4 linked regions of the Saccharomyces cerevisiae S288C genome follow. The gene in region 1 interacts genetically with each later gene. Each region holds a gene or a part of one and is shown in the gene's direction. Other genes may lie near its edges. The genes, in order: MRS2, RIM2, MDM38 and COB.

The links.
Region 2: of MRS2 (region 1) and RIM2, extra expression of one rescues a mutant of the other (dosage rescue), as found in Saccharomyces cerevisiae (one study listed by BioGRID).
Region 3: mutations in MRS2 (region 1) and MDM38 together harm fitness more than expected from each alone (negative genetic interaction), as found in Saccharomyces cerevisiae (2 studies listed by BioGRID).
Region 4: of MRS2 (region 1) and COB, extra expression of one rescues a mutant of the other (dosage rescue), as found in Saccharomyces cerevisiae (one study listed by BioGRID).

What each region holds. Positions count from the first base shown.
Region 1 is NC_001147.6:942,635-950,023, forward strand, and holds MRS2 (Mrs2p), read left to right. Parts: upstream 1-1,961; coding exon 1,962-3,374; downstream 3,375-7,389. Other genes in the region: DNA-directed DNA polymerase gamma MIP1, read right to left, coding at 1-751; VMA4 (H(+)-transporting V1 sector ATPase subunit E), read left to right, coding at 1,022-1,723; ALA1 (alanine--tRNA ligase), read right to left, coding at 3,599-6,475; KRE5 (Kre5p), read left to right, coding at 7,139-7,389. UniProt on the Saccharomyces cerevisiae protein: High-conductance magnesium-selective channel that mediates the influx of magnesium into the mitochondrial matrix.
Region 2 is NC_001134.8:603,089-609,285, forward strand, and holds RIM2 (Rim2p), read left to right. Parts: upstream 1-4,563; coding exon 4,564-5,697; downstream 5,698-6,197. Other genes in the region: putative ribosome biosynthesis protein GDT1, read left to right, coding at 1-388; NTC20 (Ntc20p), read right to left, coding at 597-1,019; 40S ribosomal protein uS4 RPS9B, read left to right, coding at 1,420-1,426, 1,840-2,420; 60S ribosomal protein eL21 RPL21A, read left to right, coding at 3,182-3,192, 3,581-4,052; RNA polymerase II mediator complex subunit MED8, read right to left, coding at 5,994-6,197. UniProt on the Saccharomyces cerevisiae protein: Mitochondrial transporter that imports/exports pyrimidine nucleotides into and from mitochondria. Selectively transports uridine, thymidine, and cytosine (deoxy)nucleoside di- and triphosphates by an antiport mechanism.
Region 3 is NC_001147.6:270,163-277,700, reverse strand, and holds MDM38 (ribosome-binding protein MDM38), read left to right. Parts: upstream 1-3,976; coding exon 3,977-5,698; downstream 5,699-7,538. Other genes in the region: YOL024W (uncharacterized protein), read right to left, coding at 97-615; LAG2 (Lag2p), read right to left, coding at 762-2,744; MIM1 (Mim1p), read left to right, coding at 3,348-3,689; YAP7 (Yap7p), read left to right, coding at 6,331-7,068; YOL029C (uncharacterized protein), read left to right, coding at 7,281-7,538.
Region 4 is NC_001224.1:32,934-44,257, forward strand, and holds COB (cytochrome b), read left to right. Parts: upstream 1-3,606; coding exon 3,607-4,021; intron 4,022-4,789; coding exon 4,790-4,803; coding exon of another isoform or gene 4,804-5,646; intron 5,647-6,207; coding exon 6,208-6,284; coding exon of another isoform or gene 6,285-7,332; intron 7,333-7,907; coding exon 7,908-8,157; coding exon of another isoform or gene 8,158-9,318; intron 9,319-9,574; coding exon 9,575-9,625; intron 9,626-10,363; coding exon 10,364-10,714; downstream 10,715-11,324. Other genes in the region: intron-encoded RNA maturase bI4, read left to right, coding at 3,607-4,021, 4,790-4,803, 6,208-6,284, 7,908-9,318; cytochrome b mRNA maturase bI3, read left to right, coding at 3,607-4,021, 4,790-4,803, 6,208-7,332; cytochrome b mRNA maturase bI2, read left to right, coding at 3,607-4,021, 4,790-5,646. UniProt on the Saccharomyces cerevisiae protein: Component of the ubiquinol-cytochrome c oxidoreductase, a multisubunit transmembrane complex that is part of the mitochondrial electron transport chain which drives oxidative phosphorylation.

The sequences.
Region 1 (7,389 bases):
GAGTGTCGAGGAAAAACGCCTTCGAGTCCCTGAAGTTGTATTCTTCGAGAACCCGTGCCCTATCATACGCAACATTGTGACCAATTATTACTTGCTCTTTATTCAATGTGTTTAGGGGTATCAGTGCAGCAGGATCATCACCACCACATATGAACGGCGAACACCAAAGGTACCACGCCGTCGATGACAAGGCCGTGGCCAAAGTCGGATAGTCAGAGACGTTATAGAGTGTTTCTACATCAAACACCACCAGCTCTTCGTCTGGGTATGCCACTTCGACGGGTGCCATTCCAGGTACGTATTTAACCCAGCCTGGCTTCCGCAGCCATTCCGCCGGTCGTGCCACCATCTCCGTGAACTTGTCCTCGCAAAAACTCTTGTACGGTTCAGAATTGAAACGCCCAATCTTCTGGAAATGCTCATCTAGCGACCTGCCTTGTAGTGGCGGCAGAGGAAACGATATTGGATCCGTGATGAGCGTCTTCTTCCCCCACAACCCATGGTCCTTTAGCGACTTTTTCGATAACTCCATAAGTTTGTCGCTTTGCTCCACCTCATCTTTACCACCGCAACTACCAAATACCTGTCTTTGCAAAGACTCACCTAAATACTGTATCCCCACAGGATTAATCCTGGGTGCTTCTGCGGTATTCTTCTTTGTGGAGAACCATCGAGCACAAAACTGCACACGCAGCGGCCGCCGCCGCACCATTCGCAGCATGCATTCAGATCTAACCATCAATTTCGTCATACTTGTCCCTCGTTGCTCAACAACTACATATAATCCCCATCTCGACCTCTTCTTTAGAACCGTTCTTTCGTAGTCCATACCTATTGTTGTTTACTGAGTATCGGCTAAAAGTGCGCCCGAGGTCACCCGCCACGGAGAGGGGCGAAAGCGGCCATTTCGATAAGAACTCACGCTATATATCAGCAAAGAACAATAGCAGTTGCAAGAAAAGTTGTTTGTAACTGTTTTACAAAAGAGGCACAGAACAGGCCACGCACCATCCGATACAGCATGTCCTCCGCTATTACTGCTTTGACACCAAACCAAGTGAACGATGAATTGAACAAGATGCAAGCTTTCATCAGAAAGGAAGCTGAAGAAAAAGCGAAGGAAATCCAATTGAAGGCTGACCAAGAGTACGAAATCGAGAAGACCAACATCGTAAGAAATGAAACCAACAACATTGACGGCAACTTCAAGAGCAAGTTGAAGAAGGCCATGCTTTCGCAACAGATTACTAAGTCAACGATAGCAAACAAAATGAGGTTGAAGGTTCTTTCTGCTCGTGAACAGTCGCTAGACGGGATATTCGAGGAAACCAAGGAAAAGTTGTCAGGAATTGCCAACAACCGGGACGAGTACAAGCCCATTTTGCAATCATTGATCGTGGAGGCACTTTTGAAGTTGTTGGAACCTAAGGCGATTGTCAAGGCTCTTGAAAGAGACGTCGATTTAATCGAGTCGATGAAGGACGACATTATGCGTGAGTATGGGGAAAAGGCCCAGCGCGCACCATTGGAAGAGATTGTTATCTCCAATGATTACTTGAACAAAGACCTTGTTTCCGGCGGTGTTGTGGTCTCCAATGCATCAGACAAGATTGAAATTAACAACACTTTGGAGGAAAGATTGAAATTGTTAAGTGAAGAGGCATTGCCCGCCATCAGATTGGAATTGTATGGTCCTTCCAAGACAAGAAAGTTCTTTGATTGATCGACCAGCAGCTTGTATACCTACATACTTACATATACACTCCTAACAGATTTTTTTTTGTATGTTGTTCTTTCCTCTGTGGTGGTCCAGTCTTTTGTCTCTTTTTTTTTTTCTTCTTTTTTTTTTTTTTTTTTTTTTTTGCAGCATTATGATAGAACAATAGGGCTCAAGATCGCACCAAGGCTAACAGTAACGGTATACGCAATCGTAGTGAAAGTGATTTTCAATCAAGCATCTCATGAATCGGCGTCTCCTGGTACGTTCTATATCTTGTTTCCAACCTTTGTCGAGAATAACTTTTGGAAGACCAAACACGCCATTTCTTAGAAAGTATGCTGACACATCCACTGCTGCAAACACCAACAGCACCATATTGCGGAAACAGTTACTATCGTTGAAGCCCATTTCTGCCTCTGATTCACTGTTCATTTCGTGTACGGTATTCAATTCTAAGGGAAATATTATCTCAATGTCCGAGAAGTTTCCTAAATGGTCCTTTTTAACTGAACATTCCCTTTTCCCCAGAGACCTGAGGAAAATAGATAACTCCTCTATTGATATTATTCCAACCATCATGTGTAAGCCAAACTGTATTGTCATCAACTTATTGCATATCAAAGCTCTTATCGAACGAGATAAGGTCTACGTCTTCGATACAACAAACCCTTCCGCCGCTGCCAAACTGAGTGTACTTATGTATGACTTGGAGTCTAAGTTGTCCTCCACCAAGAATAACTCTCAATTTTACGAGCATAGAGCCCTCGAGAGTATTTTCATCAACGTAATGAGCGCACTGGAAACAGATTTCAAGCTTCACTCACAAATCTGTATTCAAATCTTAAATGATCTGGAAAACGAGGTCAATAGACTTAAACTGCGGCATCTTTTAATTAAGTCCAAAGATCTTACGCTTTTTTACCAAAAAACTTTATTGATTAGAGATCTATTAGATGAACTATTAGAAAACGACGATGATTTAGCAAACATGTACTTGACAGTTAAGAAGTCTCCTAAGGACAATTTTTCGGACTTGGAAATGCTTATAGAGACGTACTACACCCAATGTGATGAATACGTTCAGCAATCAGAATCTTTGATTCAGGATATCAAATCTACTGAAGAAATTGTCAACATCATATTGGACGCAAATAGAAATTCCTTAATGTTGTTGGAGTTGAAAGTTACCATCTACACGTTGGGATTCACAGTAGCATCTGTTCTGCCGGCATTCTATGGTATGAATTTAAAGAATTTCATCGAGGAGAGTGAATGGGGGTTTACTTCAGTGGCGGTATTTTCTATTGTTTCTGCCCTTTATATCACCAAGAAAAATTTTAATTCTTTAAGATCCGTGACAAAGATGACCATGTATCCAAACTCACCCGCAAACTCCAGTGTGTATCCTAAAACATCAGCGTCTATTGCCCTGACAAATAAACTAAAGCGAAGGCGGAAGTGGTGGAAATCAACCAAGCAGCGGTTGGGAGTGCTACTTTATGGCAGCAGCTACACTAATAAGGCTAACCTGTCGAATAATAAGATTAATAAAGGTTTTTCAAAGGTGAAGAAATTTAACATGGAGAATGATATTAAGAACAAGCAGAACAGAGATATGATTTGGAAATGGTTGATAGAAGACAAGAAAAATTGAAAGGCGATTATCATGATAAACTATACAATATTATTAGCATAAACCTGTATATATACATATGTAAGAAAAAAGGGTATTTAAAACTCTTTTTAACAGCAAATCTTTTGTCCTTGTAAAAACATAAATAATTAAACTAAGACTAATTATACAATGACACTTTTTTATTAAGAGCAAAATAAACAAAAAGAACTCCTATGCATTATTTTTCGTTTTATTTTAACTTCTTAAATGGAAAGCTTCTCCTTGAACAAACTTTCCAAATCATCAACTGCATCCTTTATAGCGGCTGGTTTATCACCCATACCTTGGAAAACATTACCTTTACCACCAGCCTTACCGCCGATGATACTGGACACCTTTTTGGCAAGCGCAGAACCATCAATACCCTTGGCTAAAGCAGCATTGGAGATGTAACAACCGTGAGCAACACGACCTTCAGGGTCATTACCTGCCAATAAATAGATTGACTTGTCTTTGACAGAATCATTGGATTTCATGTAGTTGATCGCTTCAGTGATAGCTTTAGCATTTGGAGAAATATCAATGAATTTAACTAGGTATGGAGCATTCTCATTGGTTTCGAAAAATGTCTTCACTTCATCAAGAGTTTGTTTGTTTTCTTTTTTGGCCCTTGACTTAACTTCATCCTTCACTGCTTTTTCAATTTTGTTAAATTTCTGCTTCAGTTCATTTTTTGTGATAACAGAAATTGAAAGTTGACCAAGTTTGACACCAAGTTCCTTCAACTTCTTTTCTTTGATTGGAGAGAACGGCAGCTTGTCTGCAGCATCCAAATCAGCAGCAAACTGTTCAGCCAATCTTTGAGCTTCAAAGGCTTCAGTTCCAGTAACAGCAACAATTCTTCTGATACCCTTTGCAATACCGCTCTCTTCTAAAATGACGAAGTATTTAATATCGCCTGTCTTGTTGACATGGGTACCACCGCAAAATTCAATAGAATACTTGGTCCACTCTTCGTTAGCTGGGTTGGCCAACAATTCTTCGATTGGCTTACCAACAGAAACTACACGAACTGGATCTGGGTAAGTCTCACCAAAGACAGCACGAACACCATCAATGGATTTGGCCAAGTCCAATGGAATTTCCTTGTAAAACACTTGTAAGTTTTCTTTAATTTGCTCATTACAGATATCTTCAACTTTTTTCAATTCTTCATTTGACACAGCCTTTTTATGAGAGAAATCGAATCTCAATTTTTCTGGGGCAACCAAAGAACCCTTTTGATCGACATCATTACCCAAAGTTTCCTTCAGAGCAAAGTTTAAGATATGTGTACCAGTATGATTGTTCTTAATAGGGAAACGACGTAGTTCATCGAATGAAGCGATAATCTTGTCACCGACAGACAACTTACCTTCTTCTAAAGACCCGGTGTGGAAAACAAAACCGTTATACAATTGAACATTTTCAACATTAAACTCAGCAGCGTCATCAATAACAATTTTACCAGTGTCATATTCTTGACCACCTTGTTCGGCGTAGAAACATGTTTTATCCAAAATAATACCGTACTTCTTACCTGGTTCAGTGATCTCATCAACAAAGTTGGTACCGTCATGCAGTTTCAAAATGGTACCTTCGACGTTGGCGCTGCCGTATTTGAATTCATCATTAGTCTTGGGCACCTTAGCATCGTTCAACTCGGATAATTCATGGACGTTTAACTTAATCAAATCACTTTGGTCCTTCTTACCACCTCTTTTGGATGCTTCGTATGACTCTTGTTTGGCCTTTTCGAAACCGGGTCCATCAATCTTCAAGCCTTGTTCTTCAGCCATCAATTCAGTCAAGTCGACTGGGAAACCATAAGTGTCGTAAAGTCTCCAAACTTGTTTACCGTCTAAAGTCTTAGATTCAGTCTTAGAAGCAGCAGAAGCATATTTTTCAAATAGTCTTTCACCACGATCCAAGGTCTTAGCGAAAGAAGCTTCTTCTTCATCCAAGATTTCAAAGAGGAATGCAGGATCCTTGGCTAATTCGGGAAAGATATCTTGAACCTGAGAAATTAAAGTTGGAGCCAAAGTGGAGAAAAAGTTACCGATTGGGTAATTCATGTATTTACGGGCGTAACGGGCACCTCTTCTTAGAATGCGTCTCAAAACATATCCTCTACCTTCATTGTTTGGAACGCCACCGTCAGCTAAGGCAAAAGTCAATGTACGGACATGATCAGCTAAAACTCTGTAGGCAGTATCGATACCGTCCTTGTCATTCTCACCAAAATTGCCAGAATATGGTCTAACTGAAGTGATTTCTTGGATACGCTCGAACAAAGGTGTGAAAACATCGGTATCATAGTTAGATCTAACATCTTGCAGAACAGAAACCAATCTTTCGAACCCCATACCTGTGTCGATATGCTTGGCAGGTAAAGGCTTCAAAGACCCGTCTTGTTCTCTGTTGAATTGAATGAAAACCAAATTCCAAACTTCCAAGACATCAGGGTCGTCCATATTAACCAAGGAAGCAGCATTTCTACCACCTATTCTATCGTAGTGAATTTCAGAACAAGGACCACATGGGCCTTGGTCACCCATTTCCCAAAAGTTGTCCTTTGCATTACCAGGTAATATATGGTCATCGGGAACACCAACATTTTTCCATAGTTCACGGGCTTCAGTATCAGGTTCCAAGCCTAACTTTTCATCACCTTCAAAATAGGTAACGTATAATCTATCCTTTGGAATGCCGTATACTTCAGTCAACAAAGTCCATGAGTAAGTAATAGCTTCCTTCTTGAAATAGTCGCCAAACGACCAGTTACCCAGCATTTCAAAAAAGGTATGATGATAAGAATCCTTACCGACATCTTCTAAATCGTTGTGTTTACCACCAGCTCTGATACACTTTTGAGAGTTGTAAGCCCTTTTCAAGGTGTAGAAATCGGAAGCTGGATCGACAGTACCTAAAAAGATAGGCTTGTATTGGTTCATACCGGCATTAGCGAAAAGTAAAGTTGGATCATCAAATGGAACTACTGGAGAGGATTTGACAAACTTGTGTTCTTTAGATTTGAAATAGTCTAGAAAGGTATTACGGACATTAGTAGCGGTCCATTTTTGCTTATCACCGATCGTCATTATGGTTCTAGTTGATGTAGTTAATTGCTTCTTGAAAGAAAGAGTCAAGTTCCTTAATCCGGTAGTTGACGTCGTCTTGTCTTAAATAAGAAGATGTTGGAAGCACGCCTTTTTTGTAATTCTATTTAAAAAAAACCGACTTTGTTCAATCAAACTGCTTTCATATCTGATAGCAGTCGCCAACTGCGTTTTTCTTGTTTTACTCATCATCCATCGAGCGGATGAAAAAAAAGAGAAAAAAGAAACGGCCAATCCGTTGATCATGATTAAATAAAATATAGGGTTCTGAATTGTTAGGTTTAATCTGCAAATTATTCAGGTCATCGTTGACTTTTTTGCAGGGCACTAAAAACCGCTAACATAGGACGGTATATTGCTGATTTTAGACTTAACTTCTTGGTGTAGTCGTCTCTGAACATGGCATGATACAGCTTTGGTGGGTCACTAGAACAATTTGAATCTTGCTCAGCACGCTCTGTCTTACGTATATATCCAATTTCAGTTGATTCGAAAGACATGAAAGATTATTAATGTGTGCATTACCCGGATTGTCAATAACTCATATAGTTAGTATACTAATTAACTAACTATATAACGTGGCATATTAAAGATTAATTGTCCTGGTAGAATATAGACGTATCAGTGTGAGTGCCTCTGTTGATTATGAGACTACTTGCGTTGGTATTGTTATTGTTGTGTGCGCCGCTTCGTGCATGGACTTATAGCTTACGATATGGCATACCCGAATCTGCTCAGGTCTGGTCTATTTTAGTTCATTTACTGGGCGATGTTGATAATCAGCTGTTAACTAATTTATATCCTTTGGTTACCGGTTTGGATGACGAGATTGATATTCAAGAAAATCTTGTGGCGCTAACTTCCAATGTATTAAGGGAGCGATACGATAAAGAGGA
Region 2 (6,197 bases), on another chromosome or scaffold:
TATGGATGATGTTGAAAAAGGAGGCGACACTGCGTATGATAAACAGCTGAAGAACGCTTCGATTGGTAAAAAAATAGTGCACAGGATTCGCGAATTAGCATCATTTATGTTTTCCCCAGTTTGGGTTCAAATTTTCCTGATGGTTTTCCTAGGCGAGCTAGGTGACCGTTCACAAATTAGTATTATTGCCATGGCTACTGACAGCGACTATTGGTATGTTATTGCAGGTGCTGTTATTGGTCATGCCATTTGCTCTGGATTAGCAGTGGTGGGTGGGAAATTATTGGCAACAAGAATTAGCATAAGAACAATCACTCTTGCTAGCTCGTTGTTATTCTTCATTTTCGCCTTGATGTATATATATCAAGCATTCACAACTCAGGATTGAGATGGTTTGTAACCGTATTCTTCTTGGATTCTCTCTTTTTTCTCTTCATATTTAAGTGTGAATCTTGAAAAGAATATTTATAGACATACGTAACTAGTGTACGGCTGATATTTATTTGATGTAGCTTTTTTTTTTGCTAAGTTCATCGCTTTTCTTTCCCAGCCAACCCAATGAAGTCTTGCGCACGCAATTGGTTGTAATTATCCGATCAGCCGCTATCATCATTGTCACGGTCGGGTTCCTGTAATACCCTTTTCCTTATTATTCCCTTAATTTTTTCATTCGTTTTCTTCTCGAGCACTTCCATAATAGGCGCTAATTTGGCTTTGAGATCGCTGGTTTCGCAAACCTTATCGATGTAACGCTGATGTTCGTTTTTTTGGGGGATAATATATGGCTGACCACTCTCTTTTTGTTTCGTCTTCTGAATAGTTTCTTGTACAAAACTATTCGTTGCGTTAGAGCTCTGTCCTGTTTGAATCACCGTGTCATATACAGGTTCATTTGAAATATTTAAACCAACAAAATCATTGGCTTCTTCTTTGCCTGTTTTGCCCAGCTGGTTGATACGGGCACGTAACTGATTTAATTCTTGGTCCCTTTCTAGTGATAAATCTCGCAGAGAGGGCATACTGGTTGTAAAAAGTAGTCGCAACAAGTAAGTCGTAAAAAAGTAGATGTAATGGAAGGCTTTGAAGGAACGGCTAGCCAGCTTTTCTGTATCATTCCTAGCCTAATTGACAGCATCTTGACCTTCTAGTATGGAAACTTTCAATTTCAGAAAGCGGTGTTCCCCGCTGCGACGATTTAATCCGTACATTTACACATCTGTACATTTTTCATATTCGCAAAACAAAGGTTACTTGAAAAAATCATAAAGTTGGCGGCTTCAGGTGGACGCGCTTCACTCATGTAGCTTAACATTCAATCCCATTAAGCATTATGCATAAATTTCATGAAGTTTACTTAATAAAATTGTTCATTTGCATAGACAAGAAAGAAAGCAACAAGACAACTAAGACTAAGCAACAATGCCAAGTACGTATTAGACTATATCGAAGAGGAGGGAAATTCTTCACTCTGACTCGTTGATTTTGAAAGAGGTTCGGGTCCTCATAAATATTTGAGAATATGAAATTCCATAATAGTATACCTTCATTGAGTAGCACGACAACAGCCTGAATTACTATCCATATTATGAATATCTTTATTTACACTGAACTCCCGACACTTCAGTTAAACAGGGATACATTAGAGATCAAGGTGATCTAATAGGGAACATCTCTCTCGTAACAATGGGACAGTATTTTATTTTCCAAGGCGGATACCTAATTATGCGTTTTTAATCATATCTCTACAATATTTATGAGCACTTACTTGGGCCCTTGCAGACTTTTGTTCCGGGAAAACTTTTGACTAACAAGAATCCAATTTTACTTTTTTTTTTTTAGGAGCTCCAAGAACTTACTCTAAGACTTACTCTACACCAAAGAGACCTTACGAATCTTCTCGTTTGGACGCAGAATTGAAGTTGGCCGGTGAATTCGGTTTGAAGAACAAGAGAGAAATTTACAGAATTTCTTTCCAATTGTCTAAAATTCGTCGTGCTGCCAGAGACTTGTTAACTAGAGACGAAAAGGACCCAAAGAGATTGTTCGAAGGTAATGCCTTGATCAGAAGATTGGTTAGAGTTGGTGTCTTGTCCGAAGACAAGAAGAAGTTGGATTATGTTTTGGCTTTGAAGGTTGAAGATTTCTTGGAAAGAAGATTGCAAACTCAAGTCTACAAGTTGGGTTTGGCCAAGTCTGTCCACCACGCCAGAGTTTTAATCACTCAAAGACACATTGCTGTTGGTAAGCAAATCGTCAACATCCCATCTTTCATGGTCAGATTGGACTCTGAAAAGCACATTGACTTCGCTCCAACTTCTCCATTCGGTGGTGCTAGACCAGGTAGAGTTGCTAGAAGAAACGCTGCTAGAAAGGCTGAAGCTTCCGGTGAAGCTGCTGAAGAAGCCGAAGACGAAGAATAAATAATTCGCTGATTTCATAACTGTATAATAAATTTTATAACTTTTCAAATCACGGATCATTTTTCATTTTACTTTGTCATTTTTATTTCATTTGAAAATGGGTAGAGGTACATAACTGGCGCTTTTCTTGCAAGATGACATGGCATTGGATGACACAAGTATTACTCAATACCCAACGTAAATAGCTAGAAGATTTTGATCGGATTTAAATTCCCAACTGCAACTCAGTAGCGTTTAGGATTTTACACCTTGGCTTGGAGAAATCCTTATTGTCAGAAATTGAAGCCGTTAATATTTAAAGGCTAATTCTCCATGCCATCTTGCATTCACTTTGGTATATATCTCTTGACCTCAATATATCTCGATAATATAAATCGCAATATTATACTTGTTAGTCTGACAGTTTTACACCTGTACATCTTCACCATCACCACACCCTTTTTTACTGGAGGCAAGGATGAGTTTGAATATCGCCTTTTTCCCAGCCGCTAGAACATGCTCAGAACCGAGGAAAAGCACCGCTGCCAAACCTCCTTTGATGTGTTGGCCCACCGCTACTAGTGGCCGTGCTGGAAGCCCAGGCAGCGGTGGGGGCCACAATACGAGAGCTGGAAAGGTAAACGGTCTCTGCGCCTCTGTGAAATTTTATCACCAATGGAGTGTCATGTCTGGTAAAGATAATATAGAAAGTAGTGTGCAATTTCAGGCATTACCGATTGAACTTTGGAATAAGAGAACCAAGACAAAAATAACTAGCAACAATGGGTAAATCGTATGTCATTTAATCCTATGAATCTACAGCACGAACGAATCATGGTATCTCAAACCGAACATATCGTCACAGAAATAAAAAGATTTAAAGACGTGTCTAGTGTGAATAAAGCAAACATATCATTAGAGCAAAATATTGGGCAGATAAGATGATGCTACACTGATTCTGAGAAAATTACGTGACATGATAGGCTTTTAACGGGCTGTAAGTCATTAGTTTACAGTCGTTGCTTTGAAAATTAGTTCAACATTAGAAGTGTAGTAATTACAAGCCCTTTTTCCAAACATTCGGTTATGTGCTGGGACGCATCTCAGAAACTCGCAAAACAATAGAATACTAACATGATTTCTTATAAATCTTAATTTTGATTTATTTCCTTATAATACAGACACGGTTACAGATCTCGTACTCGTTACATGTTCCAACGTGACTTCAGAAAGCATGGTGCCGTCCATCTTTCTACTTACTTGAAGGTCTACAAGGTTGGTGACATTGTCGACATCAAAGCCAATGGTTCTATCCAAAAGGGTATGCCACACAAGTTTTACCAAGGTAAGACCGGTGTTGTCTACAACGTTACTAAGTCTTCTGTTGGTGTTATCATCAACAAGATGGTCGGTAACAGATATCTAGAAAAAAGATTAAACTTAAGAGTTGAACACATCAAGCACTCCAAGTGTAGACAAGAATTTTTGGAAAGAGTTAAGGCCAATGCTGCTAAGCGTGCTGAAGCTAAGGCTCAAGGTGTTGCTGTTCAATTGAAGAGACAACCAGCTCAACCAAGAGAATCCCGTATCGTTTCTACTGAAGGTAACGTTCCTCAAACTTTGGCCCCAGTTCCATACGAAACTTTCATCTAATTTACCCGATGCTGGTTTTGTATCGAAAAAGATTTTCAGGTTTTAGGTTTTATTTTTTGTCTATTTTTAAATATATAATATAATAAAAAATAAATTGTGTCTAATATCCATAATTTGTACATTTAGATTATTTCTTTTGGTTCTTTATTCTGACCTATATAGACTACTCAACACAGTCACTTCATGTCATCCAGATATTACTTGCGTTGAGCATCTCTTTTGAATCCTCGCTTCGGGCTCTCTCTTAGTGAAAAATTAACCTTACGCCAAAATCCAAGAAGTAAAATTAAAAAGAATAATGGTAAAAGTCTAACTTCACATAGAGAATTCAACTTTGTATAAAGGGGTAGCCTTGTTCTCTATAGAAACTGTTCTTTGAAGTACTGCTAACTGAGGTAAAAAAATCGGACGATTTTGTCTTTACGTGGTCCTATATTTATTGTGTCAAAGTCACCTACTTACTTACATAGTTGACCATTCTCATATCCCATAATTTTTCAAGGAGATAAAGATGCCTAAAAAATCCATTGAAGAATGGGAAGAGGATGCCATTGAATCAGTTCCATATTTAGCAAGTGATGAAAAGGGCTCTAATTATAAGGAAGCTACACAAATTCCACTAAATTTGAAGCAATCTGAAATTGAAAATCATCCAACAGTAAAACCATGGGTTCATTTTGTTGCTGGGGGTATTGGAGGAATGGCGGGTGCAGTTGTTACGTGTCCCTTTGATTTGGTGAAGACCCGATTACAAAGTGATATATTTTTGAAAGCATACAAATCACAAGCTGTTAATATCAGTAAAGGATCTACTCGTCCAAAGAGTATTAATTATGTCATTCAAGCAGGAACCCATTTCAAGGAAACACTGGGAATCATAGGCAATGTGTACAAACAAGAGGGTTTTAGAAGCTTGTTTAAGGGTTTGGGCCCCAATTTAGTCGGGGTTATTCCAGCAAGAAGTATTAATTTTTTTACCTATGGAACTACTAAAGATATGTATGCTAAAGCGTTCAATAATGGCCAAGAAACACCTATGATTCATCTGATGGCTGCTGCAACCGCAGGTTGGGCAACGGCGACGGCAACCAATCCTATTTGGTTGATTAAAACAAGAGTACAGCTTGATAAAGCTGGGAAAACATCGGTCCGACAGTACAAGAACTCTTGGGATTGCTTAAAAAGTGTTATAAGAAATGAGGGTTTCACTGGCTTGTACAAAGGGTTGAGTGCCTCTTATTTGGGTTCTGTTGAAGGTATACTTCAATGGCTATTATATGAACAAATGAAGAGGTTAATAAAGGAAAGGTCTATTGAGAAATTTGGATATCAAGCCGAAGGTACAAAAAGCACATCAGAGAAAGTCAAGGAGTGGTGTCAAAGATCAGGAAGCGCTGGTCTTGCAAAATTTGTGGCTAGTATAGCAACATATCCGCACGAAGTTGTCAGGACGAGATTGAGACAAACGCCCAAGGAAAATGGTAAACGAAAGTATACAGGTTTAGTACAAAGTTTCAAAGTTATAATTAAAGAAGAGGGACTCTTTTCAATGTATAGTGGGTTGACCCCGCATTTGATGAGAACAGTTCCGAACAGTATAATTATGTTTGGTACATGGGAAATTGTTATAAGGCTACTATCGTAGCCTTGAAATCTAAAAAACTCTAAATTCACTTTAGGGCCAAGACATACTCTAACAAAAAAGTATGAAAAAAGTGCATTTTGTAAGGATATAAAGCCTGTCAAAGTTTATAGAAAGCTAACCTACTAAGGTTTGGACCCCTTCGTTTCTTCTCCTTTACTTTGCATTATTTATCGTAACATATCAATGATCCTTATTTACTTCATTCAGTAAATTGGTCCTTTTATACTTGTAAATATTTTTACCAGGTCACTAGTAACAATAAAATGTTTTAAAATATCAGTAGCGTGAAGTAAAATTCAATTACTAGATGATGTTGAAGTAGATCCCGTAATAATGGGCTTTTCCCCTGTGAAGGTGAACTTTAGAACATCATCCACATTGAAAGGTTTCGAAGGTTTGCTATCTCGTACTAGAAGTGAAGCGTGTTCTTCGCTTAGGGATTCTTCATTTTTGAAATCGTGCTTTCCATATTCGTTTCTAAACGTAGTGCGCGCCCAATT
Region 3 (7,538 bases), 670 kb from region 1:
TGAAATCCAAATCGTGTTTCCTTATGCTAAGGTGGAAAAAAATAATAATAAATAAAATGGCCAACAATAAACAATAGCCTCTCTTTTCGTAAGTAATTAACTAAACATATCTAGTTGTTGATAAATAAATTTTTTATAATCCTCATACAGAAATAGGCTTGATTTTTGTGGAAAGGAAGATGACTGTAGCTCTGCTTTTACTGTAAGTAGGGGTTCATCCAAAGCTGCTGTCTGAACTACTAAATTTGTTTTACTTGCATGCAATTTTTCAAATAAATCTCTTGGCTGTGGAGGCATAGTTTCGAGCAAGACACGGTCCCCCATGTCTATCACCTTACAGGTGTCATAAATATTTATTTGATCCTTTTCCTGCAAAAAAAATGTTGACATATTGTGCCTCAACTCTTGCAGTGTCATTTTAGACAACACAACAGGAAGCTTTTTCCTAGAATAATTTAAAGCCTCACAATAATGCGTCGATCTTCGAGAGTTTGGAAAACGTCTTTTGAGTAAATTAGGGACGGCACAAAGATCATCGAAAAACTCTTTAGATTTTGGCGGTTCTTCCATATTTATAAAATCGGCGGCATGAGGATAAGACGATAGTTTTGACATCCTGTGTGAGGGTGCTATGTATATTTAGTTTTCTTCTCCCTGCCTGAGAGGATAGATTATTGTGTATTAATACGGGCAAAAACATGTTGATGACACAAACTATAAGGAAAAAAAAAAGATGCATGATGTATTTGGTATAAAACTATCTAGTCATGAGGGAGATAAGGAGGAAATTGTAGCAAGAGGTTGGTATTTATGTCTTTTTTAATACAAGTTTCTTGCAAAACTTGATAGAAGTCATCTTTATACCATTCCCAATCGATACCAATTAGGTAATTATAGTATGTGCGTAGAATTTGGTCCAGCAATTGGAAGGACAGATCTCTCACCCCAAGATCCTTATCCCTTACAGAATATCGCGCAATAGTGGGTAAAATCTCACCTAGCATAGAGTAATCCAGTGGGAATAGTTGTAGTAGTAGAGAAAGAATCATTGTTCTTAAGGTCACTCCTTCATCAATTTTTTGGGTAAAATTTCCTGCTTTTAATGTATCAATAAAAGATTTATTTGTTTTTAGATGGGGTAATATCAACTTAATCAATTGAAATTGCTCGCCACGAGTGATGTTATTTGAATGATTTTTAACCAGCAGATGATCAATAACCTCTATTGATAGCTGTAGAACAGACAATTCGGAACCGGATTGCAACGACAAAGTATGCGCTAACGTACAAAAAATAACGTTTTTTCTAATTGGTTTATTGCCTTTCACTTCATTTAGAATTTCGTTCAAATCTGCGATTTCCCCATTGTGAGTGGGTAATTCTGTTGTCTCTTTTGAAAGAATTTTATCAATTAAGGATGTGTTTATAGCGATCTTAGTCTGCAACTCAACCAACAGTTCAGAGAAGCGCTCCTCCTGAGGATAATGTAACTCAGAAAAGATTAAAAGGATTTTGTTCGTTTCTGTAATGTCTTTGGTGGCTTCATCATTTTTTTCAACGTTTATATCATCTGCGTCTTCGTCATCCGTATCACCGTCATACATGTTTTCGTCATAACCTTCTGATACGAGTTCATCGAGGTACGCTTGTTGTTCAGGATCGTTGTCTGAGCCAAATCCGTCGTCACTGTCGATCAGATTGTCGCTACCATGGTCGTTTTCATTTTGCGTCCTTGTCAGCGAGTCGTTTAATATGCTGAGCATACCAAACAAACCCTCTCTTAGCTGGCTAATAGTCGAATCTGACAATAGAGGCCTATTATCCTTTAGCCTACGAATAGAAAAATATGGATGGAAGTTATGAACTATTTCGAGAACATCTTCGACGTTACATTCTTCTCCCATTTGCGGGGGGAATAGAACCGGTAATAGCCGGTTAGTAAATAATTTATCGACTATGGGGCCAAATTTGTACCATATTCGAGAAACTGCTGCTAAAGTATTGTACTTCATTTTGGGGCATAAATTTTCCAGGTCCACCGGATGAGTTAATTGCGTAGAAGTCAAAAGTAATTTTTCTGTGATCCTATCAATGCTTTCATTTGTATTCGTAGCAGAATAGTCCTGCGCAATTGTAAAAACGTCATTCAAAATATCAAAGGGCAGTGTGACCATTACTGAAGGACTTGCCGCGTCTGAAAAGAAGCTAAATTTTAGCAATAGATTAAGGGATTCTATGTAAATTAGCATATTGCTTTCAGAAAGTGAATGTGAAAGCTGCGCAGCATCCACATCACACATATGCCTTTTCATTTCAACAATAAATTTGGAGATAAACTCTAATGAACTGTTTACTGGTTGGTGGTAATCTAAATGAGGGGAGTTTTCAATTTTTTGTAACACATTTCTTAGTGTCTCAATCAGAACAAAAGAACGATTTGCATGTATCATGCTTTGGTTTAATAAAGGGTCGCATATCAAGCTTATTACCCATCCCAACTGAGCAGCTGCAGGGTCGCTGATCATAGAAAGAACTAAATCGGGGAGCACTTGAAACGATACTAGGTTGAGAATTTCCATGTCTTGTTCTTCGACCAATACCGGGAGCAGCAATTCGTTAACAAGAGGAGCCAGCTCATCCTCTATGTCGTTAATTTTAAAGTTTTGCCTTAAAAGCATATATTTAAGGTCATTGTCCTTAGTGGAACGATATTGCTCAATCAGTTTACTAATGTGCAAGCTCATTACTAGTTGCGGTAGAACGTGATGTTGATATAGCTGAGTGCAATGTAAACGATTTTGCTACCACTTGTGTAATGTAGAACAAGCTAACCTTAGCTATGTGTAAAAATTTTGTAGAGATGATTCAATAAATGTCACGAAAGGATTGTAGAAGGATAAGAAGCAAGAATTCACAAAAAAGAAATGCGTCACAGACAGGATTCGAACCTGCGCAGGTAAAACCCAATGCCTAATTGCTTTTCTGAGGAAATAGCAGGGCATCGCCTTAACCACTCGGCCACTGGGACACGATTACTTACAATGCACAGCAAGAGCACCCCAACAGTACTTTAAAAACTCTCCTCCAAATATGTCTGCAACGTGTACTATTTATTATAACGAAGATAAATAGTAATACCAATGGCCCATAAAAGCGTATTATTCCACTACCATCGGCCTCCCCTACCACTGAACAAGAGGAATGCGTTACGAGATGTAATCACTTATAACGAAGTGGTATATTCCGCGCCATAAGAAACAGCCATACACTTTACTTGAACAATAGAACATCACTGTAATATTAGAAACATCACCCCCCTTCTTACGAAACTGCCACAAGACAGAAATATGACAGAGGTTGTGGGATTCTGGGAGAGCGTGTCAGATGACGAATCAGAAGACAAAGACTGTATGGAGGTGCAGAACACAGTGAGTGCCGACGAGAGCCCACTTGTGCAGAGCCTTGTATCCTTTGTAGGCTCGTGCTCCATCAACCTACTTTTGCCCTTCCTCAACGGCATGATGCTCGGCTTCGGCGAGCTATTTGCTCACGAGCTCTGCTGGAGATTCAATTGGTTTAACCATAGAAACAAGGGGTATAAGGTGTACCCAGAGTCGCGCAAAATAGCAGCATTGAAAGAGATTTCAAGCCCTGGCACCCGTGGGAGGGTTGCGTCCAAGTTCCTTTAAACGATCACCAAAGCATTAGCAACCTACATAAATAAATACACACACACATACGGTAGATTATACGTAACCACATAACTGGCAATAGTTTCACAAGCCATAAAGCTAGCCACGGTATTACCCTCAAACGACCCCGTCTTGGGCGATAATCCCGCGGTGAAAAATTATTCGTTGAATCATCTCCAAATAAATGGATCAGTCATTGCCACGGTGATGAATATGAACAGCGCAGTGCATTTCAGGCAGCGCATAATATACGCTATCTCTATCACTACAGATAATATACTAAGATGTTGAATTTCGCATCAAGAGCGTCATGTGTGACAAGACGTCAAGCAAGCTTGTATTTTGTTAAAAATCAAGGCCCTAGATTAATAGCTTCCACTATTCCCTCGTGTCATTGGCCTTTGAGAGCGCAAGGAGTACAGCCCAACTATCCTTTATCTTTGAGATTTTATTCTACTGATAAGTCGAAAAGTGTTACGAAGCCCGTAGCTCCAACATCCACCGATGCTCCTGCCAAGCCCAAGGAGACGCTTATGGTCAAAGTGAAGCACGCCTTGAAACATTATGCTAATGGGACGAAACTTTTGGGTTACGAAATCAAAGTTTCTACTAAGCTTTTGATTAAATTTGCTCAGGGTTACGAGTTGTCTAGAAGAGAGAGGAACCAATTGAGGAGGACAATGGGCGATGTGTTTAGGTTGATCCCTTTTTCAGCGTTCCTTATTATTCCATTCGCCGAACTATTTTTGCCTTTCGCTTTGAAACTCTTCCCCAACTTACTACCCTCCACTTACGAATCCGGCAAGGATAAGCAAGCCAAGAGAAATAAGCTCATCGAGATCAGAAAAAAGACATCCGAATTCTTGCATGAGACTTTGGAAGAATCCAATTTGATCACTTACAACACCATTGAAAATGCAGAGAAGAAGCAAAAATTTTTGAATTTTTTCCGGAAGCTTTATTCTGCCAAGGAAGGTAAGATTATGACTTTCCAACACGATGAAATAAGCGCCATTGCGCAAATGTTCAAAAACGATAGCGTTTTGGATAACTTGTCAAGACCACAATTGGCAGCAATGTCGAAGTTTATGTCACTAAGGCCATTTGGTAACGATAACATGCTTCGTTACCAAATTCGTTCCAAACTAAAGGATATAATGAACGACGATAAAACTATTGACTACGAAGGCGTTGAAAGTTTATCGCAAGAAGAGCTGTATCAAGCTTGTGTGTCTCGTGGTATGAAAGCGTACGGTGTATCCAAGGAGGACTTGGTCGATAATCTAAAAGTTTGGCTAGAATTGAGACTGAGACAAAAAATCCCATCCGTCTTGATGGTTTTGAGTTCCACGTTCACGTTTGGAGGACTTCCAAAGGAGAACTATTCAAAGGCATTCTCGCCACTAGCTGAAAAAAAAGAAACAAAAAGCAAATATGACGACCTTTTGGATCTGTACTACGACGGTATATTACAAGTGCTAAGTTCCATTCCAGATCCCGTTTACAACGTCGCAAAACTAGATGTATCTGAATCGAAATCATCCGCTGCTGAAACTGAAGCTGAAAAGCAAGTTGCTGAAAAGAAGATAAAGACGGAAGAAAAACCCGAGGAAACTGCTATACCGAAGGAAGAAGCCACCGCAAAAGAGTCTGTTATAGCTACCACCGCTTCTGCGGTTACTCCTAAACTAGTCGTAGTTAATGAAAAGGCAGAAACAGCGAAGACAGAGGAAATATCTCAGGAAAAAGAGAACGCAGAGCCTACCGACTCTGCGGAAGCCACGGAAGCTGAAGAAAAGAAGACATCCGACGATAACGAGTTCAAATTGAACGTTTTGAAGGAGCAAGAAGAACTAATAAAGAAGGAGGAAGAGGAAGCTAAGCAAAGAGCTTCGAGAGAGCATGTGCCAGATGATATCAACCTAGATGAAGAGGAAGAAGCAAAATCTGTACCTCCCATTCCGGCCGATCAAGCTGCGAAGACTTTTGTCATTAAGAAAGATTGATATTAGATCAAAGCCTAAGAAAAAAACTAAAAAAAACTAAAAAAAAAAAGTCAATCGGTTCTCTTTTCTCTGACAACAATGGCAAAAGATCAAAGAGAAGCGTACGTCACGGCAAAACCAGCGACCCTTCAAAACTAAATTATTATGCATGTATATAATAGACACCCTATCTAAACTACCGCCTTATTTTTTTTTTTATACAGGAGCAAAGTGTCTTTTTTGTGATGGCCACGAGGGTCCTTTCACTCATGACTCCTTAATCAGCATCTTATGAGCTGGATTTTCATATATCGGCGATTTTTTTCATCGGTAATGCACGCAGTAAAGCTGCTCGCTCGAGAAAAATTAGTAATATATGGAAGAAGAAGCATAAGCATAAAAGAGAAAATCCGCTGCCCCACCGTAGAAAGCAAACAAGGCTATTGGTTATTCCTCTTTTCACCTGTACTTCAATCTGTAGCACATCATCATAAGAGGCTTGAAAGTTGCTCAAGAACAGTTTCAACGGTTTTTTCTTTTGAAATTTGAAAATTGCTCTTCGTTTGTTGAGCCGTTATCAAGGAAGTAAATCATCAATTAAAGAATATAGAAAGGCACAAAATTTTGTCATTTACGCACACTTTCAATGGATCATGAGACAACGAAGGTCTGTAGTAGCAGTTAGCGTAAAGCCCAAAGGCTTCAAATTGGGGCATAAACAGGGTTCCATGTCTACGACGTCTCCACCTCCATCCTCACCAGATGGAAATGTGAGTACATCAGGACCGTCAGCTATTAAGTTATCCAAGAATTGGGAGTTACCACAGCGCCTAAAACCGGGCCGCAAACCGAAATCCAAGCGCGGGGATGCATCAGCTAATAATGATGGATCGTCCAAGATAAAGAAGGTTCAAACTTCCAACCAGAAAGACCAAATGACCACAAAAGATCATGAGAACGAAGGCGCAAAAGGTCATGAGGGGAAATCTGATGATGAAGGCAACGGAAGTGGTGATGAAAACGGTGTCGATAGCGTGGAAAAGCGAAGGAGGCAAAATAGAGATGCGCAAAGAGCATATAGGGAACGCAGAACAACAAGAATCCAGGTTCTGGAAGAGAAGGTTGAGATGCTACACAATTTGGTCGATGATTGGCAAAGGAAATATAAACTGCTGGAATCTGAGTTTTCCGATACAAAGGAAAACTTGCAAAAATCAATAGCATTAAACAACGAATTGCAAAAAGCCTTGCCTTTGATTGTTAATACTCCATTTCAACAGCAGCCAGAAAACCCGCCAGACAATCCTATTTCGATATTAGAAATGGTAGAAAACTTTAAACCAATCGGCGCTGTCAGTTTAAAAAAAGGAAAGCTGAAGGCCCATTGTTAACATCTCATGTGCCCGCGGTATTAACAGACCAGTCTTTGTCTGAGATTGATATAGCCAACGATTATCAATATCTGAGCGGCAGACAGTTTAGTTCAACGAATTCATCGCTTGATGGCCATATTAATTCACCTCTGTCTTCATGCAGCAGCAGTATCAATGCATGTGCAGGCAGTGGCAACAAAAAAATAAAATGTTGTAGGAATAAAGATGCCATGAAACCAGTAACATGTTGCAACCAAAAGAATAACATAATGCCATCCTTAGTCCCCGTTTGCTGTTCAGAAAAGAAAATAGAATCCGATGCTAAGAAATCAATATCGAAATGCTGTGGAGACAAAGAAATCTACGATAGCGAGAATAGACCGATCACTAAAGAGGATGGGTCATGGATACCTGGAAGCTGCAAGCAATGTAGATCAGACCCCCATAGTAGGAATTTTTGTCAATCACTTTCGAATAAATGTAGTTCA
Region 4 (11,324 bases), on another chromosome or scaffold:
TAAATTATTATATATAAATAATAAATATTAAATATAATATATAATAATATATAATCTTACAATTTATAATTTAATAAAGAAGGAAATAAATAATAATAACTCCTTTTGGGGTTCCGGTGGGGTTCACACCTTTATAAATAATAAATAAAGATGTTTACTCCTCTTCGGGGTTCCGGTCCCCTTTTTGGGTTCCGGAACTAATTAATATTTTATATAATAATAATAATATATTAATATAATTTCATTATTAATAAATATCTCCTGCGGGGTTCGGTTCCCCCCCGTAAGGGGGGGGTCCCTCACTCCTTCGGAGCGTACTATTATTATAAATAATTATATATTATAATATAATTAAAAAGTATTATAATTGAAACGAAAATTGTAATTTTAAATGGAATAATAATTATTATATATTTAATATATTTAATAAAGTTATAATATCTCTTTCTACCGGACTATTTTATTTTATTTTATTTTATTTTTATAAAGAAAAATAGTAATAATATTATCTTCTCCTCCTTTCGGGGTTCCGGTTCCCGTGCCGGGCCCCGGAACTATTAATTATATAATATAATATAATATAATATAATATAATATGATACGGATCAAACATTACCCGTTGTTCACTGGCAATGTTTAATCCTATTGTATATAAATATAATAAAATAATTATCCCTCTCGTAATACATATATAAAATATAAAATATAAAATAAAAATATTATGATTATTATAATATATATATATATATATATAAATATATATATATAATTTATAATTTATATGATTAATATATTATATATATAAAAAATATATTAAATTTACTTTTTATAGAAAGGAGTGAGGGACCCCCCCCCCTTACGGGGGGGAACCGAACCCCGCAGGAGATATTTATTTTAATACTTATATAGTATTTATTAATAATATAATAATTGTTATTATAAATATTAATAATAATATAAAAATAGGGTAAATAATATAAATAATATGAATAAATATAAAAACATATTAAATATAAAATATATCATAAATTTAATAAATATTATAATAATTTATAAATGATAGATATCTGGGGTCCTATAAATAATAATTATTTTCAATAATTATAGGGACCCCCACCTATTATATAAATATAAATATAAATATAAATATAAATACAAATATAAATATATAAATATATAAATATAATATAAATACAAATATAATATATAAATATAAATATAAATATATAAATATAAGTCCCCGCCCCGGCGGGGACCCCGAAGGAGTGAGGGACCCCTCCCTATACTAATGGGAGGGGGACCGAACCCCGAAGGAGTATAAATAAAAATTAATAATATATATATAATTATAATAGTTCCGGGGCCCGGCCACGGGAGCCGGAACCCCGAAAGGAGAAATAATAATATAATATATAATAAAATATAACTTATTAATATAATATTAAAAATATAATTAACAAGAATAAATAGTCCGTGGGATCGAACCCCCTTTTTTATTTAATATTTAATATTTAAAGAAGGAATTGTTTATATATATTAATATCTTATTTGGGGATTAATATAATATATAAGTTTTGGATACCAGGCCAAAGACCGGAATCCCAAAAGGAGATTATATAAATATTATTTATCTCCCTTTTTTAATATTATAATAATTTTATTAAAAATAAAATAATAATAATAATTATAATTTATAATAACAATTATAATAATTTAATTAATTAATTAATTAATTAATTAATTAATTAATTAATTAATAATAAATATAAATATAAAAAGAATATAATTTATAATAAATAAATTTATATATATATATATATATTAAATAAAATATTTACTTCATTAATATAAAATATAAATATATTTAATTAATAAGTATATATATATAATAATATATAATAACCTATTTATATATATAATCTTAATATAATTATAAGAAATATTATATAAGTAATATATAAAAATAATATAAAATAATTATAATTCAATTTATATATTAATAGTTCCGGGGCCCGGCCACGGGAGCCGGAACCCCGAAAGGAGGAATAAGATAAATATATAAATTATATTAATAAATATAAATTTTAAATGAATTAATAAAATTAATATATATATGTATATATATATATATATTAAAAATATTTAATTATTTTTAGGAAGGAGTGATAGATCCCTTTGGGGGACCGAACCCCTATTTAAGAAGGAGTGCGGGACCCCGTGGGAACCGAACCCCTTTTTTATTTAAAGAAGAAGTTTTATTTTATTTTATTTTATTTTATTTTATTTTATTTTATTTTATTTTATTTTATTTTATTTAATTTAATTTTAATTAGGTTAATAAATAGTAATAATAAACTTAATAATAATAATAATAATTTTATTTTTATAATTTATTAATAATAATAATAATTATATATATATATATTATTAATAAATATAGACCTTATCGTCTAATGGTTACGACATCACCTCTTCATGTTGATAATATCGGTTCGATTCCGATTAAGGTTATTCATAATAATAAATATTTGTAAAAAAAGTATATATAATTAAACATATTCTTTATATTAATTAATAATTATTAATAATATACATTTTATATAATACAATTATATATATATATATATTTTTTTTTAATACAAATAATATATTCATAATAATAAATACCGATTGTTATTATACTATAATAAAATATATAATATATTTTTCATTATAATATTTTTAAATAAATATTATAATAAATTATATAAATAATATTTATGTATAATAATAATAATAATAATTGTTATTAATTAATTCTATAATTATTATATATTTAATTTTTTTTTTTAATATAATATATAATAATATAATTTATTTTATTTTTTTTTATAGTTCCGGGGCCCGGTCACGGGAGCCGGAACCCCGAAAGGAGAATATAAATTAATAATAATATAAATAACATATTAACAATAAATTATTGTTAATATAATAATAATAATAACAATATTAATAAATAATATAAAAATTATTAATATTATATTTATATAATATTAATATAAAAATCTTTCATAATATTAATTATTATTAAATAATAATGATATCATTAATATTAATATAATCGTCAATATTATTTATTTATTTATTTATTTATTTATTTATTTATTTATTTATTATTAAATAAATATTTTTAAATATTATATTATATTATTAACTTTTTATTAAAAAAATTAATAATGATATAATATAATTAATATTATCCACGGGACCAATGACCAACCCAGTAGTTGACCGGATTGGCGCCCGCGAGGTTTATATTTAATAAATAATAATAATAATATTAATAAAATCTATTAACTTTTTTTTTTAATGGATTATATTAATGAAAAAAAAATGAGAAATATCTTTTTTTTTTAATAATTATAATTTATATATAATAAAATATGTATATATAATAAAAAAATAGTTTTTAATATTATAATATAATTATATATATAATTATAAATATATATATATATAATAAGTATTAATTAATAATATATATTTATATATTTTTTATTAATTAATATATATAAAATATTAGTAATAAATAATATTATTAATATTTTATAAATAAATAATAATAATATGGCATTTAGAAAATCAAATGTGTATTTAAGTTTAGTGAATAGTTATATTATTGATTCACCACAACCATCATCAATTAATTATTGATGAAATATGGGTTCATTATTAGGTTTATGTTTAGTTATTCAAATTGTAACAGGTATTTTTATGGCTATGCATTATTCATCTAATATTGAATTAGCTTTTTCATCTGTTGAACATATTATAAGAGATGTGCATAATGGTTATATTTTAAGATATTTACATGCAAATGGTGCATCATTCTTTTTTATGGTAATGTTTATGCATATGGCTAAAGGTTTATATTATGGTTCATATAGATCACCAAGAGTACTATTATGAAATGTAGGTGTTATTATTTTCATTTTAACTATTGCTACAGCTTTTTTAGGTTATTGTTGTGTTTATGGACAGAGTGAGACAAGTATAAGTATATTATTATAATATCATACCATTAAATAAATTATTTTAATGAAATGATTATGTTTATATATAACATATACCTAATTAGACATGCATTATTAGTAATAATTTTGTATGAAACTCTAATAATAATAATTATTATTAATTATTAAGGTAAGATTCATATGGATAGCGTAAGTCAATCTAATATTATAAAATATCGTAACATAAACAATATTTTTTTCTATTATTAATTAATAAATAATAATAAATAAAAATAATTATATGAGAAGTAAGATATTCAATTCTGTCTAGAATACATATATATACGTTAATACTCATCGGTATAAAATTAGAATCCTAAGTGAATTATTGAAAGTATAATAATATAAACTTGGTAAGCCCAATTATTTCCATATAATATTAATATAAATATTATATGGTAGTTATATATAATATTATTAAATAAATAATAATAGAAATTATAATATAGATAAGTGGGTAAAAGACTATTGAAAAAGCTAAAGATTATATGTAATGTATAATATAGATCAAATTATTTATATATTTTAATAAAAATATATTAATAATGGTTAATATTATTATTAATTAATTAATTAATTAATTAATAATAATAACGAATAAATGATTAATGTGAAAGCATGCTAACTTCAATATAGGATGATTTATATAGTATATAAATTGTTTGAGCTGTATACTATGAAAGTAGTACGTACAGTTCTGAGTGGGGGAAAATTTGTAAAGATCTACCTATCACAATTGTCACATTGAGGTAATATAAATATCGCCTCAAATATATTTAATATAATAAAACTAATTTATATAATAATGTTAATATTATTAATTTATATTTTTTATACGATTATAATAAGACAAATAATAAAAACTAAAGAATATCTTATATTAATTAAGAGTATAGATTATATTAATAAAAATAAATATATAATTAATTTAAATATAACAAATAAGAAAGATATAAATAATAATATTGGTCCATTAAATATAAACATTTTATCAATTATTTATGGTTCAATATTAGGAGATGGTCATGCTGAAAAAAGAAAAGGTGGTAAAGGAACAAGAATTGTATTTCAACAAGAATATTGTAATATTAATTATTTATATTATTTACATAGTTTATTAGCTAATTTAGGTTATTGTAATACTAATTTACCTTTAATTAAAACTAGATTAGGTAAAAAAGGTAAAATTAGACAATATTTAAAATTTAATACATGAACTTATGATTCATTTAATATGATTTATTCAGAATGGTATATTAAAAATATATCTGGAAAAGGTAATATTAAAGTTATTCCTAAATCTTTAGACAATTATTTAACTCCTTTAGCTTTAGCTATTTGAATTATAGATGATGGATGTAAATTAGGTAAAGGTTTAAAATTCACAACTAATTGTTTTAGTTATAAAGATGTTCAATATTTACTTTATTTATTACATAATAAATATAATATTAAATCTACTATTCTTAAAGGCAATAAAGAAAATACACAATTTGTTATTTATGTATGAAAAGAATCTATACCTATTTTAACTAAAATTGTATCTCCTTATATTATTCCTAGTATAAAATATAAATTAGGTAATTATTTATAATAAAATATATAGTATTATATTAATTATTATATTATTATAATGCGATATTATTGAAAACATGTCAAAATTATATTATTAAGTAACAAGACAGTGGGTTATATAATTATATGATCCCAACAGAATACACCAATAATAGGTATTATTATAAAAAAAATAATAATATTTAATGTTTATTCGAAGAAAATTTATAATATTATTATTATAACACAAGGTTTAATAATCTATATATATATATTATATATATAACTACTGTTATTATTCCATTTACCTAATTAATATATAAATAATGAATTATAATTATTATGATTAATATTTTTATAATAATAACCCCATCATAACATTTATATATAACATTTATATATAACATTTATATATAATATTTATATTATGGTATTATTAGGTATAAATATTTATTCATAAGAGAAAATAGTGATTAAATGGAATTATAAAAAGGGTAGATATTATTAAATACAGGGTATTATTTATATTAATAAATCAATAAATATTGAGATTATTATTATTAAAAAATAATAATAATTTATAAATAATATTATTTTCTTGGCACTAGTTATTACTAATTTATTCTCAGCAATTCCATTTGTAGGTAACGATATTGTATCTTGATTATGAGGTGGGTTTAATATAGAGGATCCATATTATAGTAATATAATATTAAATAAATCTGTTTTATGCTGAAATATCTTCATTTGAATAATAAATTACTATATTATTCAATTAATTATTTATAATAATATAATTTGAAATAAAAATAATATAGTTAAAATATTTATTATAAGAAGAAAATTAGCAGTAATTAATATATATATATATATAAAATTAATTATTCAGAGACTTTATAGTTATTATATAAATAATACTATTATTTATGATAAAAATCATAAATTAAACACAGATAATCCTATTTATGCATATATTGGTGGTTTATTTGAAGGAGATGGTTGAATTACTATTTCAAAAAAAGGTAAATATTTATTATATGAATTAGGTATTGAAATACATATTAGAGATATTCAATTATTATATAAAATTAAAAATATTTTAGGTATTGGTAAAGTAACAATTAAAAAATTAAAAATAAAAGATGGTACTATTAAAGAAATATGTAAATTTAATGTAAGAAATAAAAATCATTTAAAGAATATTATTATTCCTATTTTTGATAAATATCCTATATTAACTAATAAACATTATGATTATTTATATTTTAAAGATAATTTATTAAAAGATATTAAATATTATAATGATTTATCTTATTATTTACGTCCTATTAAACCATTTAATACTCTTGAAGATATTTTAAATAAAAATTATTTTTCTTCATGATTAATTGGTTTTTTTGAAGCTGAAAGTTGTTTTAGTATTTATAAACCTATAAATAAAAAAATAAAACTTGCTAGTTTTGAAGTATCTCAAAATAATAGTATAGAAGTTATATTAGCTATTAAATCATATTTAAAAATTACTCAAAATATTTATACAGATAAATTTAATAATTCAAGAATAACACTTAAAAGTATTAATGGTATTAAAAATGTTGTAATATTTATTAATAATAACCCTATTAAATTATTAGGTTATAAAAAATTACAATATTTATTATTCTTAAAAGATTTACGTCTTATTCTTAAATATAATAATTATTTTAAAATTCCTCCTAAATATTAATCTTATATAAAAATATAATAATAATATATTTATATATTATATAATTATATAAACAAAATATAATTTATATATAATTATTTATTATAAATATAGTCCGGCCCGCCCCGCGGGGCGGACCCCGGAGGAGTGAGGGACCCCTCCCTATTCTAACGGGAGGGGGACCGAACCCCGAAGGAGTTTAATTATATATTAAATATATTATTATCAATAAATAATTCCTTTGAACTATTTATTATTTTATTATATTTATTTTCTCCTTCATTATTAATTTTTATTAATAATTAAAATCTTATCATTTTATGGTATTTTTATTTCTATTTTAGGATATCGAAACTATAAATTAAAAAGTATAATTTTATTAATTATAATTTATGATTAATAAATAAGAAATAAAAACTTTAGAAGTAATATTTATCTTTTTTTTTTATAAATAAATATTATGATTAATATATAATCATTTATAAATATTTATATATAATTATATATATACATAAATAGGATTAAGATATAGTCCGAACAATATAGTGATATATTGATAATAGTTTTCAAATATGTAACTATTTAAACATTAAAAGCTCAGTATCTAACCCTCTAATCCAGAGATTCTTTGCGTTACATTATTTAGTACCTTTTATCATTGCTGCAATGGTTATTATGCATTTAATGGCATTACATATTCATGGTTCATCTAATCCATTAGGTATTACAGGTAATTTAGATAGAATTCCAATGCATTCATACTTTATTTTTAAAGATTTAGTAACTGTTTTCTTATTTATGTTAATTTTAGCATTATTTGTATTCTATTCACCTAATACTTTAGGTCAAAATATGGCCTTATTATTAATTACATATGTAATTAATATTTTATGTGCTGTATGCTGGAAATCTTTATTTATTAAATATCAATGAAAAATTTATAATAAAACTCTATATTATTTTATTATTCAAAATATTTTAAATACAAAACAATTAAATAATTTCGTATTAAAATTTAATTGAACAAAGCAATATAATAAAATAAATATTGTAAGTGATTTATTTAATCCCAATAGAGTAAAATATTATTATAAAGAAGATAATCAGCAGGTAACCAATATAAATTCTTCTAATACTCACTTAACGAGTAATAAAAAGAATTTATTAGTAGATACTTCAGAGACTACACGCACACTAAAAAATAAATTTAATTATTTATTAAATATTTTTAATATAAAAAAAATAAATCAAATTATTCTTAAAAGACATTATAGTATTTATAAAGATAGTAATATTAGATTTAACCAATGATTGGCCGGTTTAATTGACGGAGATGGTTATTTTTGTATTACTAAAAATAAATATGCATCTTGTGAAATTCTTGTAGAATTAAAAGATGAAAAAATGTTAAGACAAATCCAAGATAAATTTGGTGGTTCTGTAAAATTAAGATCAGGTGTTAAGGCTATTAGATATAGATTACAAAATAAAGAAGGTATAATTAAATTAATTAATGCCGTTAATGGTAATATTCGTAATAGTAAAAGATTAGTACAATTTAATAAAGTATGTATTTTATTAAATATCGATTTTAAAGAACCTATTAAATTAACTAAAGATAATGCTTGATTTATAGGGTTCTTTGATGCTGATGGTACTATTAATTATTATTATTCCGGTAAATTAAAAATTAGACCTCAATTAACTATTAGCGTTACAAATAAATATTTACATGATGTTGAATACTATAGAGAAGTATTTGGTGGTAATATTTATTTTGATAAAGCTAAAAATGGTTATTTTAAATGATCTATTAATAATAAAGAATTACATAATATTTTTTATCTTTATAATAAAAGTTGTCCTTCTAAATCTAATAAAGGTAAACGTTTATTTTTAATTGATAAATTTTATTATTTATATGATTTATTAGCTTTTAAAGCACCTCATAATACTGCTTTATATAAAGCTTGATTAAAATTTAATGAAAAATGAAATAATAATTAAATTTTCTCCGTATTCATTATTATATTATCTAATTTATAAAATATTTAAAGATTCCTTATAATAATATAACATCTTTGTAAATTATTGTTAAAGATAATATAAATTATTATGAATCGGTAGATTATATTTTTACAATCTTATTAAATAAAATTCTGATCATTAAACATGATTGAAGAAATAATAATAGTTTATGAAATAAGATAGTGTAATATAAATTTTTATGAAGATATAGTCCATTTTATATTTATTATAAAAGCATCCTGATAACTATATTCCTGGTAATCCTTTAGTAACACCAGCATCTATTGATATTAAAAATATTAATAAAATTATTATTATTTAATCTTATTTATTTTATATAAAAAAAATAAATAATAATTATTAATAAAAATATATTATTTATTTCTCCTTTCGGGGTTATTTATATATATTCCTTTATAATTTATATTTAATATATTATATTAAATATATGAAAAATTATAATAAATAAATTAATTAATTAATAATAAATAATAATAAAAAGTACAGTAGCATTAAATATTCTTAAGTTTCCGCTTTGTGGGAACTCCCATAAGGAGTTTAATGATTAAAATTGGTTAATTGTCAAGAAAATCTAAGGTATTAATAAATAAATAATACTATGACAACTTGCAGCGAAGTTTATATCATCTCTATATTATATATTAATATATATATATAATAATAATAATAATATTAATATAATATAAGATATAAAAACGTTCAACGACTAGAAAGTGAACTGAGATAGTAATACCTTTCCACGAAAACCAATTAATTTATAAATTATTTTTAAATAAAGAATAGATTATTAATTTTTTTTATATAGTTCCGGGCCCCGGCCACGGGAGCCGGAACCCCGGAAGGAGTAATATATATTATATATAAAATAAAAAATATATATATATATATTATAAAATATCAAAAGTTTTAATCTTTTATTATAAATTAATGACATAGTCTGAACAATAATGAAAATTATTGAGATAAGATATTAAATAATCTTATGTTAACATATATAAATTGTGTACCTGAATGATACTTATTACCATTCTATGCTATTTTAAGATCTATTCCTGATAAATTATTAGGAGTTATTCTAATGTTTGCAGCTATTTTAGTATTATTAGTTTTACCATTTACTGATAGAAGTGTAGTAAGAGGTAATACTTTTAAAGTATTATCTAAATTCTTCTTCTTTATCTTTGTATTCAATTTCGTATTATTAGGACAAATTGGAGCATGCCATGTAGAAGTACCTTATGTCTTAATGGGACAAATCGCTACATTTATCTACTTCGCTTATTTCTTAATTATTGTACCTGTTATCTCTACTATTGAAAATGTTTTATTCTATATCGGTAGAGTTAATAAATAATATATAATTAAATTAATACATAGATATAATATATATATTATTATTATTAATAATATAATAAAAATAAAAATAAAATTATTAATAATAATAATACTTTAATAATATTCTTAAAAATAATATATCTCTAATTTATAAAAATTAAATAATAATAATAAAAAAAAAATATTATAAAATATAAATTAATTAATAATGAAAATAATATACTTATTAAATTAATATAAATAAATGAATAATATAATATAACTATATTGAATTATAATCTATCTATCTTTTTTTTTCATATAATTATAATATATATATTAATATATATAATTATTATTTTATATATTATAGTTCCGGGGCCCGGTCACGGAAGCCGGAACCCCGCAAGGAGATTTATTAATTATTATTATCATTATTATTTTTTATTTAATCTTATTTATTATAAAATAATTAATTATCATAAAGCATAATTATTATAGAATCTTATTATTTTCTTTATTTAAATTTATAAAAATATAAAGTCCCCGCCCCCTTTTTATTTTATTTAATTAAGAAGGTATTTTAAAAAAGGAGTGAGGGACCCCCTCCCGTTAGGGAGGGGGACCGAACCCCGAAGGAGTACTCATTT